3 linked regions of the Arabidopsis thaliana genome follow. The protein of the gene in region 3 interacts with the protein of the main gene of each other region in a pairwise test. Each region holds a gene or a part of one and is shown on either strand. Other genes may lie near its edges. The genes, in order: SNRK2.4, AFP3 and AREB3.

The links.
Region 1: the proteins of AREB3 (region 3) and SNRK2.4 interact in a two-hybrid assay, tested with the Arabidopsis thaliana proteins (one large-scale study listed by BioGRID).
Region 2: the proteins of AREB3 (region 3) and AFP3 interact in a two-hybrid assay, tested with the Arabidopsis thaliana proteins (one large-scale study listed by BioGRID).

Annotation. Positions count from the first base shown.
Region 1 is NC_003070.9:3,655,119-3,662,560, forward strand, and holds SNRK2.4 (Protein kinase superfamily protein), read right to left. Parts: upstream 3,491-7,442; 5' UTR 3,053-3,490; coding exon 2,933-3,052; intron 2,696-2,932; coding exon 2,621-2,695; intron 2,507-2,620; coding exon 2,405-2,506; intron 2,313-2,404; coding exon 2,289-2,312; intron 2,215-2,288; coding exon 2,161-2,214; intron 2,067-2,160; coding exon 1,974-2,066; intron 1,894-1,973; coding exon 1,801-1,893; intron 1,653-1,800; coding exon 1,548-1,652; intron 1,465-1,547; coding exon 1,366-1,464; intron 1,283-1,365; coding exon 932-1,282; 3' UTR 695-931; downstream 1-694. Other genes in the region: TMN1 (transmembrane nine 1), read left to right, coding at 4,204-4,293, 5,207-5,399, 5,504-5,608, 5,932-5,949, 6,044-6,141, 6,223-6,375, 6,603-6,737, 6,887-7,053 and 2 more.
Region 2 is NC_003074.8:11,380,605-11,387,269, reverse strand, and holds AFP3 (ABI five binding protein 3), read left to right. Parts: upstream 1-3,124; 5' UTR 3,125-3,612; coding exon 3,613-4,003; intron 4,004-4,549; coding exon 4,550-4,854; 3' UTR 4,855-5,056; downstream 5,057-6,665. UniProt on the Arabidopsis thaliana protein: Acts as a negative regulator of abscisic acid (ABA) response and stress responses.
Region 3 is NC_003074.8:21,044,166-21,051,652, forward strand, and holds AREB3 (ABA-responsive element binding protein 3), read right to left. Parts: upstream 4,450-7,487; 5' UTR 3,730-4,449; coding exon 2,989-3,729; intron 2,906-2,988; coding exon 2,834-2,905; intron 2,470-2,833; coding exon 2,389-2,469; 3' UTR 2,069-2,388; downstream 1-2,068. Other genes in the region: AT3G56840 (FAD-dependent oxidoreductase family protein), read left to right, coding at 152-235, 300-629, 710-991, 1,106-1,533, 1,619-1,778, 1,899-2,012; UBA2A (UBP1-associated protein 2A), read right to left, coding at 6,543-7,487. UniProt on the Arabidopsis thaliana protein: Binds to the embryo specification element and the ABA-responsive element (ABRE) of the Dc3 gene promoter. Could participate in abscisic acid-regulated gene expression during seed development.

The sequences.
Region 1 (7,442 bases), on a different chromosome or scaffold from region 3:
AACACGAACAGGAAAAAACTGCACATTATCACTGAGACTATACATACACAATTATCAAATCCAGTGAGACACAACGAATCGGTTAGTTATTACCCACCTATTTCAGAACTTGGAAGACAATAAAATACTCCCAAAAAAAAAAACAGGAAATTGAAGTGAATCGATCAGTCATGAGTCTAAAGGATTAATCTTTACCCATGCGAAACGAAATCCCTAATCGACAACTAAATATTAACACTCGTAGGACGAAGAAACGCAATCGGTGTGAGAAAGAACAAAACGAAAACCCTAAAAATGACTTTGAAACGAAAGCCAGGAAATACATTTTCGATTCAGTGGAGTCTCTTGCTTCTGTAACGTTGCTTTTAACACTCCGGCGGCGAAACAATCAGGGAAGTCGGCGAGACGAAGCACAGGATAAAATGGCCACCACCGACTTGAGCTCAAGGCCGTAGAAGATTATCCGGTTTCCTAATGGCGGGATATTTTCCCTCTAATATATTCACATTTCGCATCAGAAACAAAAAAACAAAAGAAAACAATTATTTTTGAATTCCGAACATTTCAATTTGATTTTTTGTTGACATTTGTATTTTATAGATTTGCATTTTCAAAAAAATGATAAGGAACGAAAAAAAATAAAAATAAGAAATCCAAAAATCAAATACATGAATCTTTTCGGAAAATAAAATCTAATTTACAAAAATATTTATTGGAGGTCACAATGTTCATAGTACCATGCGTAGCAAAGGACTCATTCTCATCATCAACCTCTCTGTTTGTTCATCTTATACTGCAAATTTTACAAATCTCCAAAACCAGAACCAAAACCTTAGCCAAAGCATTGTAAAGGCAAACACGAGAACAGAGACTTTTCAGTTTCAACAAACCAACGACGACTTCTTTCTTACACAGACCAAAAACCAAAATATCAACTTATTCTCACTTCTCCACTTGCGTGTACTTCCTTTACAGTCTTATCGTATTCATCCTCATCGTCTTCCTCTTCTTCCACCTCCTCCTCTTCCTCCTCCACGTCTTCTGCATCTTCCTCTTTTCCATCTGCATCCCCATTTCCTCCCCAGCCAAAACCTCCGATGGATCGGGAAACAGGAGGCGGTGTTTTGGCGTCAGCCACTATCTTCATGATCTCTTCAACGGTCTGAAGGGAGAAGGTTGGGTTCTCTTTCTTGAAATATGCAGCTTGAGCTGTCTCTGTGAGTTCCCTTGGCAAATTCTTTAGGAACCATGAATGTTTCTTGATTTCTGCAATGGTGATCCTCTACGAAACAACAAGTAGCTCAATTGTTCAGAAAAATCAAAAGGCATCTTTGAAAACATTTAGTTCAGTTGATTGATGTATACCTTGAGTGAATTGGCGACAAATATACGGGAAAGGAGATTTTTACAATCCTGTGAGATATGGACGTAGTCCGGGATCTTGTACTGGACAGCCATTATTTTCTGTATAACAAGATCACACATTGACGAATAGGATGTGGCGAAAGCGAGATATGCAGATACATGGCTTCAAAAAAGAAACCTACTTGTATTGTTTTCCTGAAGTTCTTGGGGTCTTCCTGGTCTTCAAATGGGTATGCTCCAACCAGCATGACATAAAGAGTCACACCACAAGACCATACATCAGCCATCTGAAAGAAGAAAAAATGCTTCAAATCTTAGCGACTTCCACAAAGATGACTTTTTAAATTCAAAAGTAAAAATGTAAAGAGCATGACAATATCATAAATACTCATGGGTTTATGGAAGTTCATTGCATTGTGCATGATGCTTGATTACCTTGCCATCATATTCTCTTCGAGAAAGGACCTCAGGTGCAATATATGCTGGAGTTCCAACTGTTGATTTGGGCCTAGAGTGCAGCAGAGAGGACTAAAAAAAAGAGAATAACAAATCACAAAAGAGGATCTCGTCGACAAGGGGGGAACTTGGATTTTTTTTTAGTGTCAGACCTTGGAATAACCAAAATCACAGATTTTCAGACGTGGAGCAGGACTTCCATCCAAGAGCGTATTCTCGAGCTTCAGATCTCTATGGCATATTTGCTGCAACAAAATAGTCAACACATGATTAAAAAAAAACGACTTCAAACAGCCAATGGATAAGTAAATTTTGCTTAAGTCATTGTCTCTACATTACCATAGCATGGCAATAGCTAACACCTGATATAAGCTGCTGGAAGAAATATCTCGCCTGGAAAAGAGAGAAAGGATTAGAACGTAGACCCTAACTGTTTAATGCCTGATACTAAATAAAAGGAGGTTCACATGTTTTCTCTTGTTCCCTTCCTCCTAATCTTTCCAAAGACCATGCAGATTATCCTAAATACTAGTAATTTCATATTCGCAAAAGCACAGCACAATTTTTCAAATGGCAAGCTCACCTCATCCTCACTAAATCTTCCAGCACTGCATATACGCTCGAATAGTTCACCACCAGCAGCATATTCCATGGCAATGGCAAGATGGGTTGGAGTCAACACCACCTATAAAATCCATAAACCCAACAAGGAATGCAAGATGAAAGATATAAGAGATTATCAACAAACTTTTTCATAGCAAGAACACCACCCATGTCAAGCAACAAGAAATTCACTAACCTCCTTGAACCGGATTATATTCGGATGGCGAAGTGATCTGTGATTAATGATCTCTCTTGCCACATTCTCATCAATCTGTATCAAAAAAAACAAACAAAGCAAATACTCATTGTACAAATCTTTTCAGGAAAAATATTACAACTACAAGATAACTAACGTTACGTTAAACACCCAATCAGCTAACGATAAGAAATTTACAAAAAAAAATCGACTCTTCTGCTTAATAGCAATTCATTCCAATTATGCATATCTGGGTATAGGATCACCAGCTCATGGAGAGCAATGAAAACACAAAAACAGAGAGGAATATACCTTAGGACCACGCTCGATGTACTTCATGGCAACAAGTTCCTTAGAGTTTTTGACCTTCATGAGCCTGGCAACTCCAAAATTCCCAGCACCTATGTCTTTCACCAGCTCGTACTTGTCCATTCTCGCTCGACAACCCTAATTCCAAACACACAAAACAGAAAGGAAAAACCCAAACAAAAAAAAAATCTCCAAAATTCTCGTTGAAATTCAAGTCCAGTTCTAGCAGCTAAGAATTTCACGTGAAAATGAAACAAGATTAAAAAAAAAAAAAACAGTATCCCAAAATCAAGGATGCGATTCCGAGATCTCGCGATTCGCAAAGAAAGTGGGAAAAAAAAAGGGAAAGAGATGACGATGGAAGGTTAATTTGAGATTTGGATTGGAGAGATTTCAAGCCTAAGCGAAGAATCAACTTTCTTTTTCTTTTTTTTTTCTTGTTGGAATTTTTCTTTTTTCTTTTTTGGGGTGAAATTAATAGAGAAATAATGATGAGAATGAAGAAGAATCTCCCCTGCCTAAACAAACTCCCATCATGTTTTTTTTTCCATTTATTTAATTAATACGAGATTTTTTAAAAGAAAGAGGGACCCACAAGTTTCCATGCGATCCATACATGTTTGTTTCCCTTGCTGATTCGAGTGTATAACTACGTTTTTTTTTGTCACCAACGCGCTTTTTTTCTCCCTAATTCAACACTTCAACTATACACTATTTACACGACACGAGTGGTCAGCAGCAAGCAAATTCGCCTTAGATTCTTTTGGTTCTATATAGAGAGAGTCATTGTCCATAAATCACATTTTTCTCTATGAAGATTGTCACTCAAACGTAACCTTTTAATGAATTTATGTCATGATTTTCATCTACTTTTAACATTTTTCAACATATATACAAAAAAAGAAGAAGTTATGTTCCCATGTGTGAGTGTATATTTTAATTGAAATGACATAGTTCGTGCGCGTATATGAAAACATTAATAGACCTTATATGGGCCGCTAAACTAATATACACTTGTTAGAACGAAAGGCCCAATCAATTAATAGAGCAAACATTAAAAGACCTTATATGGGTTTTAAACTTAATATACGTTTCTTAGTACTACAAGCCCAATTAATTAATAGAGCAAAAAAGAAGTTGTAAGCCTTATCGTTGTTTTTGTATTACCCAAAATCTCTACAAAGTGAAAACACTGAGCTGAGGATCTCGCTCTCTCTCGATTGGTATCTCTCGCTCCGTCCTTCCTCAGATCTGATCGTCCGCCGGTTTTCACGATGCCGTCTTCCTCCTCCGCCGCCGTCCTCGTGTTCCTTCTTCTCGTTTCCCTTCTCACTCCTACGTTCGCATCCGATTCAGATCACAAGGTAAGACTCGGATCTCCAGTCGTTTTTTCTTTTCTTTTAATGCAGCTCGAAATCGAGCACTGTGTCCGTAGATCCGTGATTTGCATGGTGTTTGCGATTGAATTTTTTTTCATGGATCTGTTCGTTTACGGATTGCTAGGATCCTCGAGCTTCTATTCATTGTGATTTAGGCGTATCTTTTCGTTGCAAGTCTAGGCGTATTTTGTCTATTCATTGTGATTTAGGCTTTTCACAATCTCGATTTTAATAAGAAATTTTGATGTTGGTTTGAGATTCTCGTTGATTTCTGCACGTGGTAGCCTGTTTGATGTTCAAATACTTGGATCAACACTGAGTTGTGTTGTAATTGAGTGGCATTTAATGTATTAGCATCTTCGAGATGTAGATCTTATAGTTCCGAGGTCGGGTTGATGATTTTTTTCAATTGGTATCTAAAATGTGATACTGAAAGTGTCACACATGGCTTCTTTTGCTGATGGTCAGTTTCAGCTCAAAATTGTTATTGCCTTTTGTGATATTGGAGATCATGAGATCTAGCTTTAATGCTTTTGCTCCTCTGCCTTCTTACGCTCGCAAGTAGTGTGACATTTAAAGTCGATTCCAACTATATATTTTCTGCGTGAAAGATGATAGATAAAGGCGGGTTATGCATTATTCAAGAGCAATCTGGTAGCATTATTCAAGAGCCATTATTTCTATGGAACCATCATTTGTGTGAAGACTTTAACTCCTGATTTTTGAAATGATATTGAACGTAGCCTTTATCAGTATCTGTCTGTCTACGTTTGACATTTTGTTCTGTTCTCTCTAATGGAATTTTGGTTCTTACTCTCTCTTACTAGTTAATCCCATAAACTTTTACATTTCTGTGCTTTTCTGTCAAGTCAATTTTTTTTGCCTTCACCTTTTTCAGTATCAAGCCGAGGAGCAGGTCACCCTATGGGTAAACAAAGTTGGCCCATATAACAATCCACAAGAAACATACAACTATTACAGTCTTCCATTTTGCCGCCCATCTGGAAACAATGTTCACAAATGGGGTGGTCTTGGTGAAGTTCTAGGTGGAAATGAGCTGATTGACAGTGAGATTGCGATAAAATTCATGAGTACGTTTCAATTCTTATACAAGCTTCTTTTTCATACTAGTTAACAGTTATCGTACATTCGTACTTATTCTCTAGTTACAATACCTTTTCTGTTTTTTCCACAGAGAATGTCGAGAGAAGTGTCATCTGTCCGCTTGAACTCGATGAAGCTAAGGTCAAGCATTTTAAAGATGCCATTGAATCTAGCTACTGGTTCGAATTTTTTATGGGTATGTTTCACGTCTGTTGTACATATTACCACTGAAATTCATGAAAATAATGCTGATTTATTATCTATGATGTTGCAATTTCCTACTATGTAAAGTTTGGAAACATTTTGTATCTGCTGAGTTTTCCTTTGGTTCATTTTTACATCATGCAAATCTAAATTATTCCGATATCTAACTTCACTGCATTACCAATATCATTTACGGCATTGGATGTTGTAGGATATATAATCTTACATAACTTCTTTGGATTGCTAACCTTATTTCTCACCTTTTTCTGTGGCATCTGATTGGCGTGGACTTTCATCGGGTGGTTCTAACTTCAGATGATCTACCTTTGTGGGGTATGAACTTTGTATATTTACTTGAAACATCCAAAATTTATTATGTTCTTTGTTTGTTTTATATAGTTTTAATACTGTCTCATTGCTGTTGTAGGCTTTGTGGGTGAGCTGCATCCTGACAAAAATAGTGAAAACGGCAAGCATGTTCTTTACACACATAAGAACATTGTTGTCAAATACAACAAAGACCAGGTCGGTTGTTACCACGCCATTAAGCAATAGTATGGATATCATGTGAACTACATCTGTGATCTTATGTATCTATTTTAATAGATCATTCATGTTAATCTCACTCAAGACAACCCAAGGCCATTGGAAGCAGGGAAAAAAATGGACCTGACGTATTCTGTGCAATGGATTCCAACAAATGTCACATTTGCTCGCCGCTTTGACGTATATCTGGATTATCCGTTCTTTGAACACCAGGTAACTTTTAGCATGCTATGAATTAGTCTTGTACCCTTCTGCTACTGTCTGTGATTCCAAATGGTTCACTGGTTTATAATGTATCACACTGAATACCCCATTTCATGCTTGTTCATAAGTGCAAGCCATAATTATTCTTCCAAGAATCTACCAAAGTTCTATATTCCATCTCTTCAAGATTTCTGTTCAAGCTTTATAAGCCTTCTGAGAGTTTGTTCTTTTTGCAGATCCACTGGTTCTCCATCTTTAACTCGTTCATGATGGTTATTTTCCTCACCGGTTTGGTCTCAATGATATTGATGAGGACTCTCAGAAATGATTATGCGAAGTATGCTAGAGAAGATGATGATCTTGAGAGCTTGGTGATGTTTCCTCAACTTTTATTTGTCATTAGTTGCACAATTGTTTTTTTAGCTGTTAATACTCTCTAGCAGTCTGTCCAACACTTCTTTCTTTACTTCTAAATGCAAGGCTTCATAGCCATTTCTGACGTGAGTATTGATGGGCACAGGAACGGGATGTAAGTGAAGAATCTGGTTGGAAACTTGTGCATGGAGATGTGTTCAGGCCAGCAAGTAGTCTAGTTCTGCTCTCAGCGGTAGTTGGTACAGGTGCACAGTTGGCGTTGCTGGTTCTTCTTGTCATATTAATGGCCATCGTGGGAACTCTCTACGTTGGGTATGTATTACACTATTCTTTTCTCTTGAGACCAATTTTGTGTTGTTGTTTTCCCTACATGCGGTTGGCTTGTATATTGGATTTTGCTCACCTCTTATTCTAATTATTTCAGGAGAGGAGCAATCGTCACAACTTTCATAGTGTGCTATGCTCTGACTTCTTTTGTCTCTGGTTATGTGAGCGGTGGAATGTACTCAAGAAGCGGGGGTATGACTTACTCGACTTGGCGGACCCCTCCAGTGTTACTTTCCTCTCTAACTATTCAAGTAATTTAAATGCTGGTTTATTCAGGTAAACATTGGATCAAGTGCATGGTCCTCACGGCTTCTCTCTTCCCCTTTTTGTGCTTCGGAATTGGCTTTCTCCTAAACACAATTGCCATATTCTAT
Region 2 (6,665 bases), 9.7 Mb from region 3:
GGTATAACTTGTTTAAATACTAAGACGCAAATATTAAATTACACGTAACAAAAAGATTACAATTCAAATGATATCATAATTGATTAGTTCAATACCCATTATAAACACTCATTTTCTTTATCTGAATAAAAAATCGTTTTTTTCCTCTACACTTTCTAATTTGGTTGATTGTTTTGCTTATCTGTTGTGAAACAATGTCAACGTGTCAAACACCCACAGGAATGACGTCGATAGACCGAAACAATAAAGTTTGGGGTTAAAAAGAGTTAAATCTCTGTGAGGTCCACCATCTGATCTCTTGTCTGATTTCTTGCGTGTTTCTTTCTCTGCAGATTCTCTTCTTTCGTAAATTATTTTTCTTTTTGTTGTTGTCAATTTTCATACGTATCTTTCACATGCTTTGTCTTCCTTTCATTGAATTTATTCAATTTAATTATTTTGGTCTATTTATCTGCATTTATACATGTTGCAATATTTGCGTTTTTATGAGTTTGAACGGAGAGATGGATTGGTCCTAAGATGTCATCATTCGCTAGTTTGATGTAAATTCAACCAAATACGAATTAGTGACGATTTTGTGGTTGAAATTGTTCATAAAATCATTACAACATTAGTGATTTTATTGTTCTGACATCTAAATCAGATCAAATATACAAATGTTATGTGATATTGATTTTCTACTAGTTTTCCATGGCATTTCATTATAAGCTATTAGCAAACAATGTCTTTATTCAAACTGACTTTTAAATATAAAAAAAGTTAGAATTATTACTTGTATATTTTGATGCTTAACTTTTTCTTCAACTCGGAATAATTTAGAGAATGATTGAAGAGTCCGACCTTTCAAAAAACATACAAAAGTAAAAAATAAGTAGTGAAAAGTCCAAGAAAAAAGAAAAAAAAAACTATAAAAGTGTAATTTTTCTAAGAGAATCTATATGAGAATGACTGCATCGTCTTCATTCGAAATCCTAAAAAATGCGGATATCTAGCTCTGTAGATCTTTTATATTTACCATATTTTTTTTGGGACGGTCATCGATAGCCTAAGCACTCAAAGTCTGACGACCCAACGAAAGGTGGTGGGCTAGTGGTTCTAGTCTGGTGGAAGTGGTCCTGTTTGTTTAAGTCAGGGATCGATTCTCTCCATATGTAGAATTGCTTACTTTTATTTTTTTGACTATAAGTATAGACATGCTACTTAAGATCTATTTAAAAACCCGGAAGATATCAAATATATAGGATATAGGATACCCTCTCTCTAGGAATTAATCATGAACCTTTCCATAGGTTCAGAGATTTACCAGAAATTATAAAAAAAAATCAAAGTTTGAACTAACACTTATAAAATATATATTTCTAACCCGAGAAAAAGAGACATTGTCTAAACATGTAAATTTTATTAACAAATAGACGGATAAAGCTAGCAAAGAATTAGAGTGTGACAAAAAAATATTGAAAATATGATTGCTACTAGATATATTAATACTTTATAAAAACTTGTTATAAAAAAATATCCAAAACTATTTGACTTCCTATGATATTAGTTCCAAATAATTTAAATTTTAGATATTTAGATATTTGGTTGTCTGTATAGATATCTTCTTTTTCTGAACTGCAATGGATATATGCATTTATAAATATGATGACCAGAAACTTTTAAATTTGGATAATTGTTACCAATTTGGAAAGACATATCATAAAACAATTTACTTACAATAATAATAATAATAATAATAATCTTGTGGATAAATTATCAAAAATATTTTGCTCTATTTGCTATTTATTTCATGAACTCTTATATTCACTTCCTTTAGTTTTAACCAATCATTATGCCATGGCATATAATAATTTAATATAAATTAAAAGTTAGACAAACAAATAAAATAAATAAATTAAGAATTAATTGTAAAATCTGAATCATATGCCCTTTTTTATAAACTCATAACAACATATAATTTCATTAATTCTAAAATTTAAACTTTAACCACTTTTTATAAAGAGTAAATTTGGAAAAATGCCCTATTTTTGAGTTTTCATTTGAAAAATACCCTATTCTTTCTTCCTTTTTAAACAATTAATTTTTAATATATAAAAATACTAAAATAGCCTCATTAAAATTTAAGAATAACTTTTTAAAAAAATAAACTTAAAACAAAAAAAATTCATAAACTAAAATTTGATGTAACTAATAATTTTAAAGATAATTATTATCTAAGCTGATATATGATTTTATTTAATTTGTAAAAACTATAACGCAAACCACTCTTCTATAAACGTATATAAAATTTTTAGATATTTATATTTATAAATATGACTGCAGAAGTTTTAAGTTTATGATAGTTTTTAAAAAGCAATTATGATAGTTAGTAACAATTTAGAAACACGTATAATTTAATTTCTTTGTTTATTTTTCAAAAATATACAAAAAATTTATGTCAGCGATTTTATTTTATTTTGTATGGTATATGACTAATTTAAAAGTGGTACTAATTAGTATTATAAAAAATTATTAAAAAGTATTTTTAACCTTACGACTCTATTTTTTTACAAGTTACAAATGTTTCATAAAATTTTATTGTTAAAACACTATGATCTAAGATATTGAAACCCACGGTCAAAGTATTGCTAACATGGTCATTACATTGAAAAAGAAAATTAATTGTCTTTACTCATGTTTATTCTATACAAATAAAAATATTAACCAACCATCGCACTAACAAAATAGAAATCTTATTCTAATCACTTAATTGTTGACAATTAAATCATTGAAAAATACACTTAAATGTCAAATATTCGTTTTGCATACTTTTCAATTTAAATACATTTAAAGTTCGACAAGTTGCGTTTACTATCATAGAAAACTAAATCTCCTACCAAAGCGAAATGAAACTACTAAAGCGACAGGCAGGTTACATAACCTAACAAATCTCCACGTGTCAATTACCAAGAGAAAAAAAGAGAAGATAAGCGGAACACGTGGTAGCACAAAAAAGATAATGTGATTTAAATTAAAAAACAAAAACAAAGACACGTGACGACCTGACGCTGCAACATCCCACCTTACAACGTAATAACCACTGAACATAAGACACGTGTACGATCTTGTCTTTGTTTTCTCGATGAAAACCACGTGGGTGCTCAAAGTCCTTGGGTCAGAGTCTTCCATGATTCCACGTGTCGTTAATGCACCAAACAAGGGTACTTTCGGTATTTTGGCTTCCGCAAATTAGACAAAACAGCTTTTTGTTTGATTGATTTTTCTCTTCTCTTTTTCCATCTAAATTCTCTTTGGGCTCTTAATTTCTTTTTGAGTGTTCGTTCGAGATTTGTCGGAGATTTTTTCGGTAAATGTTGAAATTTTGTGGGATTTTTTTTTATTTCTTTATTAAACTTTTTTTTATTGAATTTATAAAAAGGGAAGGTCGTCATTAATCGAAGAAATGGAATCTTCCAAAATTTGATATTTTGCTGTTTTCTTGGGATTTGAATTGCTCTTTATCATCAAGAATCTGTTAAAATTTCTAATCTAAAATCTAAGTTGAGAAAAAGAGAGATCTCTAATTTAACCGGAATTAATATTCTCCGACCGAAGTTATTATGTTGCAGGCTCATGTCGAAGAAACAGAGATTGTCTGAAGAAGATGGAGAGGTAGAGATTGAGTTAGACTTAGGTCTATCTCTAAATGGAAGATTTGGTGTTGACCCACTTGCGAAAACAAGGCTTATGAGGTCTACGTCGGTTCTTGATTTGGTGGTCAACGATAGGTCAGGGCTGAGTAGGACTTGTTCGTTACCCGTGGAGACGGAGGAAGAGTGGAGGAAGAGGAAGGAGTTGCAGAGTTTGAGGAGGCTTGAGGCTAAGAGAAAGAGATCAGAGAAGCAGAGGAAACATAAAGCTTGTGGTGGTGAAGAGAAGGTTGTGGAAGAAGGATCTATTGGTTCTTCTGGTAGTGGTTCCTCTGGTTTGTCTGAAGTTGATACTCTTCTTCCTCCTGTTCAAGGTACATTACCATAGTTTTTGTGATCTTTCATGAGTTTGTTGAATTTGGATTAAGAGATGATTTTTTTTTTTTAAATCTTCAAGATTGAGTTTTGCTTGTTTAGATCTTTGATTATTGATTAGGGTACACGACATTGAATCTTCTTTTGGATGTAGTGATATCAACATATCATTTTACGATTATTAGATTCCCTTAGGATGGATTCATTGTGTGGCATTGTGATTGGTTTGTTGTGTTGTTAGCGTTTTTGAGTCTTTGGCTTTTCGTTTTATTTCGTGTCTTTCACTAGGTATCTTTTAGGTGTCTTAGAGTTCGATTTTTGGCCATTTTAGGTATTGTTAGTGGAAAGAAACAAAGTTTGGTGCGTTGTAGTTACTACATTGTTTGTGTTTCCATTCCAAGGGAAAAAGTATGTTCAAAAATGCACAATGTATCAAGGGATTATCGATAATATTCGAAAGCAAACATTGTATATCTTCTAGGCTTTGCAAAGTTTTTGTTGTCTTTTGTTTAGTGTTTTACTGAAATACTTACTTGTGTTTGAAGCAACAACGAACAAGTCCGTGGAAACAAGCCCTTCAAGTGCCCAATCTCAGCCCGAGAATTTGGGCAAAGAAGCGAGCCAAAACATTATAGAGGACATGCCATTCGTGTCAACAACAGGCGATGGACCGAACGGGAAAAAGATTAATGGGTTTCTGTATCGGTACCGCAAAGGTGAGGAGGTGAGGATTGTCTGTGTGTGTCATGGAAGCTTCCTCTCACCGGCAGAATTCGTTAAGCATGCTGGTGGTGGTGACGTTGCACATCCCTTAAAGCACATCGTTGTAAATCCATCTCCCTTCTTGTGACCCTTTGGGTCTCTTTTGAGGGGTTTGTTGTATCGGAACCATGTTACAAATCCTCATTATCTCCGAGGTGTATAAACATAAATTTATCGAACTCGCAATTTTCAGATTTTGTACTTAAAAGAATGGTTTCATTCGTTGAGATTAATTTTAGACCTTTTTCTTGTACAATGTTTAGTCTTTGAGATAATATACCGGCTTGTCTAATTTAAGTGTGATACATATTAAAGATTGTCACGCTAAGGTTAAATTATTTAAAGAGGATCGTCTTCGTTTCTTATATGTTTTCTATTTTCTGTTGGTGGTGATAACTGTTTTTCTTACATCAACGACGAAGATTTGCCAATACTTGGACACCCTTCAACAGAGCCGGCCCAAGATAAATTCTTCCCTAAAACAAAATTTATTTTTGGCCCATCATTAAATATAATCTACTCTATTATTTGAAACGTACATTTAATGAGGTGGGCATTTCGCAGAAATAACAAGTTTGTCATTGAGTTAAAATTTTTCTATCATGAAAAACCCGTTTAAAAAGACGCGGATCCTTTTGACCCGAATTTTAAAATAACGGGTCATAACTTCTAATCTTAGCCATTCAATTGATTTTTTTTTAGCCGTTGATTTTCTCCAGTAAAGTTTTGAAACCCGACCCGGATGATGAACCGGACTACCTTCTTGGTCACCGGGTCATCGGGTCAACCGGGTTGGACCACGGGTCAATTAGTTAAAATTTATTTAATAAATTTAATATTAATAGAAATTTTAGAGTATTTTATAAATATATATATATATATATTTTTTTAGTATTTATAAATATAAAACAAAATAATCATATCATGTTTAAAAAATATAAAATTATATTATGTTTACCAAAATATAAAATTATTTACACCCAAATATATATATATATATATATATATATAATCAAACAATAATAATAAAGTGATTAAAAATTTTAAATCCAACTAAATGTCTAACACCGTAACAAATATAGTAGGAGATCACCAATGATAGAAATAAACTAATAAAACATCGTGAATTCAAACAACTAATCTCAATTGTCTCTCTCACCATTCGATTCATTTTTAAGGCGGTATTGTAAAGTCTTCACCAAAATCTAAAACATCGAATGAATTTAAGAACTGAAAAAACTTTTAAAAATAATTGAATAAAGTCTAAAATCCCATATTTTACTGCAAAATCAAAAAAAAAAATTAAAACCCACACCCGGCCGGTTCAACCGGTTCACCGGGTCACGGGTTAATTGCGAGTTTTTGAGGGTTTTTTCGGTTTTGAACTTATCGGGTTTTAGCACTAAACCCAAACCGGAAAACTAATTATACTCCTATATCAATACGGATTTATAATATTTATTATATTCTAAAAGATTAATAATCCAATCAGATAATTTTTAAAACATTTCCTAATTAAATATAACAAATCGGTTTTATATATATATAACATTATAAATATCGAATTAATATGTTTGAATTCGAAATTAGCTTAAATATTCTAAATTTATTTAAATAACTAGAAAAACACTTTTAACTAAACTATTTTTTTATGTTTGATAATTAAAATATAAAAATATGTTTAAACATTTTAAAATAAAATGAATTAAATTTTCGGTTTATATTAATTTCTGTTAATTAAATTAATTGAATTCCTTTTTCAGCAACTGAATCATATTAATTGAAAATATTCAATGCGTATATTTCTTTCTTGAATTCGAATATATCACTTCTCCATAATTATAGGTAATCAAATATTTAGTTGGATATTCATTTTTGAATTAGCATAAAGTTTCTGAA
Region 3 (7,487 bases):
CAAAAAATCAAGCCAAAAATCGATCCTTACAACTGTCTACAGATGAAGGAATCAAAATTCGAAACCAATTACGACTGAAAACAGTAGTAAAGAAGCCAGAGAAATGAAAAGGGATCAGCTTGGTGAAGGACAAAGTATGAAATGAGGAAAGATGAAGCATAAACCTGAAACGGCGGCGTTTAGCTTGATTCGGCCTCTCGAAGCTTGGGCTGCAAATGCAAACAAAGCCTGTAATGTAATAATGTTAGAGAGTTGAGAATAAAACCCATTTATGTGGTGCTGAAGGCATTTTGCTGCAGACTAAGAAGATGCTACCTTGTCTGGGTAGAAAATGGATGAGATTGTCAACGAGGAATCTAAAACCAACTTGGAACTTGATAAACGTCGTTGACGCAAGTAAAACAATTGTGAGAGGAATAAGCGGTGGAGCTGAAACGATAGCTAAAGAGAGAGTTGACACCGTAGTGATCGGTGCCGGAGTCGTAGGTTTAGCGGTGGCGCGTGAGCTCAGTCTCCGCGGCAGAGAAGTTCTGATCCTCGACGCCGCATCATCGTTCGGCACCGTGACGAGTTCCCGCAACAGTGAAGTCGTCCACGCCGGAATCTATTATCCACCAAACTCTCTAAAGGTACAATCTTTCTCTTGAGGATCGAATCAGATGTGTGTTTTGGTAAGTTCAATAGTGAGTTTTGTTTGGATTTTGAGCAGGCCAAGTTTTGTGTAAGAGGGAGGGAATTGCTGTATAAATACTGCTCTGAATATGAAATCCCTCATAAGAAGATTGGTAAGCTTATCGTTGCTACGGGATCCTCTGAGATACCGAAACTAGATCTATTGATGCATCTTGGAACTCAGAATAGAGTCTCGGGTCTAAGGATGTTGGAAGGTTTTGAAGCTATGAGAATGGAGCCACAGCTTCGTTGTGTTAAAGCTTTGCTATCTCCTGAATCTGGCATTCTTGATACACATTCCTTCATGCTATCTTTAGTGGTATATATAATAAACTTTTCCCCAGCTCTCTATATAGGGTCTTCATTGTTCTGTCTTTAGGAAAAGAGTTTTGATTTCATGGTTTACAGGGATAACAACAACTTGAGACTACAGGGAGAAGCACAGAACAACCACGCAACTTTCTCGTACAACACGGTGGTTTTAAACGGTCGTGTTGAAGAAAAGAAGATGCATTTGTATGTTGCTGATACCAGATTTTCTGAATCTCGGTGTGAGGCAGAAGCACAGCTTGAGCTTATCCCTAATCTTGTTGTTAACTCTGCGGGATTAGGTGCTCAAGCTCTAGCAAAGAGACTACATGGCTTAGATCATCGATTTGTTCCTTCGTCTCACTATGCTCGTGGATGCTACTTTACACTATCGGGCATAAAGGCTCCACCTTTTAATAAACTTGTGTATCCTATACCTGAGGAAGGAGGTCTCGGTGTCCATGTCACTGTAGATTTGAACGGACTTGTTAAGTTTGGACCTGATGTAGAATGGATTGAATGCACAGATGATACATCAAGCTTCCTCAACAAGTAAATACTGCATCTGTTCTTAAATTATCCTTTCTATTTAGTCCATTTTGAAGTTACTCAAGATCTTCATGCTGTTTGTATTCAGGTTTGATTATCGTGTAAACCCACAACGATCAGAGAAATTCTACCCAGAGATCAGAAAGTACTATCCGGATCTCAAAGATGGATCATTGGAACCGGGTTATTCAGGCATCCGTCCTAAGCTTTCCGGGCCAAAACAGTCTCCTGCAGATTTTGTCATACAGGTAAGCTTTTGTTTATCAAAATGCATCAGACTACACTCACAGCATTAGGTCCTGTGGAATCTTCGGTTTTGTTATGAAACCATTTGTTATCCTCAAGAGTCTTGTGTGTTCCTGATGCAGGGAGAGGAGACTCATGGAGTTCCTGGTCTTGTTAATCTCTTTGGCATCGAATCACCTGGTTTAACTTCAAGCTTGGCTATTGCAGAACATATAGCAAACAAATTCTTGAGATGAATTTGAGTTAAAAGTTTACATTTAAGAACAAAAGTGGCCTACAAGAAGAAGGCTTTGCAGAGTTAAACAATTTTCCTTTCAGTGTGATCCATTTAGACTTTGTCTATAACTCTTTACACTTTGCAATCAAATGCTATAAGAATAATAAACACAAGTTCCTTCTGTTCAATCTCTGAATTTCAATCGGACTCATGAAAACCATTACTGCTGCTAGTCTGCTACTACAATAACTCGAGAATATTTTAAAGTTAACAGAATTGCTCCAAGTCAAGAAAGTCTACGGAATGTACAAAGAAACAAAGCTGTTTTCCTCTCTTTTTTATAAGTGAACCGACACAGAAGAGAAAAAAAGAAAAAGACAAAAAGAGTTTAGAGATCAGAAAGGAGCCGAGCTTGTCCGTCGGAGCTGCCGCTTGGGATCAGGCGGTGGTACACTTGGGAGGATTTTTTCCACCTCCTGCAAAGTAATGTAAGGATTAGCTTTGGCCACACATAAACGCAGACAAAATTGAAGAACAGAAAGTCCATGAAGACTAGAAACCAGCAAGACCAACTTGTTCCGGGTAAAGGAAAACTATGTCTCCTAAGACGTTTGGTCTAAACCTATTCCTCCTGTCTCTTGTTCGTGGTTATATTTTCTATCATATATTGTCTACTATGCGTGTGCCCTATTCTATACTTCACTACATCTTCTATCATCTATCATTCCCTTTAATATGAATCCAGAACTAATCAACGATCAGCTCTTACAAGTTTCTAGTAATCACAAATTTAATCAATGCATGTGTTGTAAAAAGGGAGAAAAACCTACAATGCATTACCTTTTGCTTCCTGAGTCTTTCGTTTTCTTCTTCTAACCGTGAAACTTTGATCTCTAGCTCATGAGTGTAAGCCTGCTCATCAATATCCAATGTTAAAACAAAAACGAGCATGACTTGACAAGAAGAATAACAACAACAAATTAGTTGTTTCTCACCTGTTTCCTAGCTCGGGAACGAGCAGCAGACTCTCTGTTCTTTATCATTCTCTTCTGCCTCCTCTCTACAGTCTTCTCTACAACTTCTCCTGAAGCTACCCTCTTCCTTCCAGGAGTTTGTGTATCTGACAAACCACCCATCAAAGAAGACTGAGACACCATTGCTTGCATATCTGAAACCGGATAGGGCATAAATGCTTGAGGCTGTGGCATTGATGGGAGCTGATGATATTGAATCCATGGGCCAACTTGAGTAATGTTTTGCCCTAAACCAGCACCTGAACCAGCACTACCACCACCAACAGGACCATCATGGTTCGAACCAGGGATAGTCTCAGTGACCACTCCTGCTTTCAACAACAGGTCTTCAAGCGTCATTTCCCCAAGTGTAGGCTGCTTATCCCTCCTCTCATGAGCACTACCTCCATTCTTATTCTGCTGAATGTCTTTCCAAACCTCATCAACAGTCTTTTTGCTGAGATCCCGAGGCAAAGTCAAACTCCCCTGGCGAGAAAGACCCTCCTGAGCAGCTGCTCCACCATTGACAGCCATAGACGATGGCTGATTAGCTTCAACAGAACAGACACTCTTCAAAAGCTCATCAAGGTTCATGCTTCCCAGAGCTTTACCAGAACTCCCCAAGTGATTTTGAACCTCATCAAGTGTTAAGCTGTAAAGAGAGCTTTGCCTATTCAAGGACTGAGATTTAGCTTGTTCAACAATACCCCTCTGAGAATCCATAGGCTTTTGTAGCGGACAAAAAACAACAAGACAGATAGATAAAAACAATTCTGAACCCACAAATCAGAAACCCTAATGCTCAATTTGATAAATAGCCACACGACGACGAATTCATCAAATCGAGCCTAAATCGGAGGCGAAAGTAACCTTTTTTCTAAGGTAGAGTGGCGAAACATGCAGAAGAGAGACGAGAAGAAGAGAACCCAGAAATCAAATCGAAGGAAATGGCAGAGAGAAATCACGGCGTTGTAGCAATCAGAAAGAGTCTTGGGAATTGCATGCAGCATCGAAGGCTATCAAATGCAGATACTAAACATGGAAATCGCAACACAAGGACAATCAAACTCTTGCGAGGTACAGACTTTTCGAAGAAGAAGAATAAATCAAAAACTTAAGCAAGAGAAAAAGCAACAATCTTTTGGAGCTTAAAAAGGACCAGATCTAAAACATGGCAAGTTTGGGTTTTTCTTTCTCAAAAGAGAAACGAAACTATGATAAGTGCAGAGACAGATTTACAAAGCAAACCTAAACTCTGTGTCTGTGTGTGTCTGAGTCTCTCTCTCTCTCTTCGTTTTGTTTTCGCGCAGGAGAGGAAAAAAGAGAAGAGAGAGAAAACCTTTTGATTGAGAAAGTGACACTCGATACTGTGGCAATGCCCCCCTCTCAAGCCTCCTGTGGAATTTTCAATGCGTTTCTTCTTTTTTTAGTTGCCCAAAAATGGTTTCTCAAACTTTCGATCAAAATAAGAAACAGAGGTTTGTTTAAACACTTAATGATTAGTGATTAACTTAAATGAAGGTGGAATCAATAAACACTACATGTGCTCGGAGACCCTTCATTCATTTAGCTTCAATGGGAATTTAGGTAGATTGATTATCAAACTTTAATCAGAAAAGGTTATACATATACATGTTTATGTTCTTTGGCTCTCAACACTAATCCTCATGCCTATGAGTTTCTCTTTAAATGGTAAGTGATTACTATAAATTAATCTGCAATCATGTTAAACCATTTTTAGGCAATAATTTACATGTATTTTTTTGCAATATTGAAATCTCAAACCTTTAATTATACTTTCTATTATCCAATCTCAGATTGGGTTTTATGAACATTGAATGTGGCTTTGAAGAATATTGCATCTTGGATTCTCTTCATCAATGAAGGACCTTTTTCCCTTTTCGAAACTTGACATAACAATTGAGAGATTGTTGACTTGAGATCAAATACACAAAACTCTACTACTTACTTCCCCCAATTCCACTTCAGCTTCATATTCTGCTTCTCTTCTTCATCATCAATGAACCCTTCTACTATGTATCATCATCATAAATAATATTCAAAGCTGCACTTTTCCAAAAAGAGATTTCACCATCAAAGCAATCATCACCAAAAAAACTTTATGCATTCACGCCTTTATAAACTCCTCTGAAACATTAAGGGAAATAATATATCACCTCGTACTCTTGTGACTTTTCTAATAATCCCTGAACCTTGTGCACAAGGACCTGAAGGTACATGCTCTCTAGACCAAAACCAACTTTTATCACTTCAAAGAGGGACTAGGACCAATAAACAAGAACATATATAGGCAAGAGATTCGCACTGAGAGATATACTTTTAACACTTTTGATTACTTACCCTTCAATTGGAAGCACGTTGTATATAGCCAAAGAAGATACTCAACACTTTGAACTTACCTTTTAGTTGCAAGCATGTTGTGGAGATCCAAAGACTTAACTGCCTGTTGTCGAGAAACTCTATTCGATAGCTTCCACTTTTCAAATATTGAGAAATTGCCTCAGAAAGATCATTCTTCAGCTGTGTCGTTGAGAAGCTTGCACCACTTCCCACCAAGTTTGACTGTTCCAAGTTGGCTGCAACTTAGTAATTTTATGACAAATAAGTTTGGAAACAAAGTTCTAATTTGAAATAGTCATTGTAAAAACTTTTGAAACTTGTCATAGAAAATCCAAAAACACAAGTGAGAGAGCTCTGCTGCATTTTAAAATTCCAAGTTTTGATCATTTCAGAACCAATTGCATTCAGATTAGTATATGTGTGCTAAAGAAATTTCATTGACAGTTAGGGGTACATAATCTGGCTGTTCAACCGCAGTCAATTACCTGCAAGAGGAATAATTGAACAAACATAAAATCAGGATAGTACATAAAGCCAGGTTAATCAAGATAACTTGGTACAAAATACACTGCAGGCAGAAAAACACATGAAATCGTAAAACAGAGAAGTCAATAAAAACTATTTAGGAAAAACTAGAGTTCGATAAGCAAAGACCCACATGGAGCGTAGTTGCGCTTTTTTAGTTTTACAAATGAAAGTCTAAGGGGGATATTCAGAAAACTGAAAAAATAGAGACATAAACACTGAAAATAGTAGTACAAAGTTTTTTTTAGGAATTTCATAAAGAGAGTTTGGGAAAAACAAGTAGATGAAAACTAAAACTCCTTAAAAGGTTTTTTATGAGTTTGGCCTTAGGAGTGACCAAAGAGTAACATTTCATAAAGACTTCATTTAGCATCAGCTCCTTATAAACTTGAGAAGAATCACCAGGCCAATATTAAAACACTGATTTCTGATATCTGCACAATGAATTTAAGAAAATAAGAGAAGTAACATGCTTTAACAACCGTTGCAAAATCCCCCAAAACTCCAATGCAAACAAAAACCATGTGGATATACACAGAAACTTCTTGTCTTCAGACATCAGTAAGTTAATATATACTGAGGAAAGACATTTCAACAATTAAACAAGGGAAATTCATTGCTCTACCTGAGTGGATGGATACATGATACATTTAGTGACCCATGTAAGGAGTACCGTATGGCCCGACACCATGTTGCCCTCTACTTGTACCGCCTTGACCAGGTTGCGGAGTCTGATAACCGCCTTGCAACCCAGGTTGTGTACCGTACCCAGGCATTGTCCCCGGTGCCATAGCTTGAGTACCGTAACCAGTTGGCATTCCAACTCCATTCCCTGGGTTTACACCAGCAGCTGTCCCCAAGGAACCCAACAAAGCCTGTCCAATTGCCGGATTAAAAGCCAAACCAGCTCCCTGAGATGCCAATAAAGCTGTCAAGGCCTGTCCAATGGCCGGGTTTATCACCTGTGCCGTTGGACCACCCATCCCAGCTGGGTTACCAGCCATGAGATGTCCATGACCTCCAGGCGGACCATAACCATTGTTATCATTCCTTTGGTAACGAGGATTGTTATAGGCGTGTGGGTTATGGTGATGCTGCTGCTGCTTGCCCGGTTTGGGACCATCGATAGCTTTCTGGCAATGCAAGATATGGCCTTCAAAAGTCTTGTGTGGCTCCTCCAAAGCCCTCTTGGCGCTTTCAGACGACTTATAAACAAAGAGACAGAAACCTTTAGGTCTCCCAGTATACTTATCAAGACCCAAAGGACCTTCTTCAATTTCTCCAAACTTTGAGAAAAACATCAGCAACTTCTGTGGATCAAGCTCTGCTCCGACATTACTAACATAAATCTTTTTCTGAGTATGCTCCGAGTTCGAATGCTGAGCAGGCGCTGAAACAGCTGCAGCAGCGATAGGAGCTCCACCAAAGACAGGTCCTTTAGAAGCCAATTGGCATGCCGTCATACGACTACCAATCTTCTTCTGAGGCTGCTTGAGTGCGTTGCGAGCACCTGAACGAGACTTGTACAGAATAAAGCCATAACCTTTAGATTTCCCTGAGATCTTATCAAACACAGCCTTGCAATCTTCGATCTC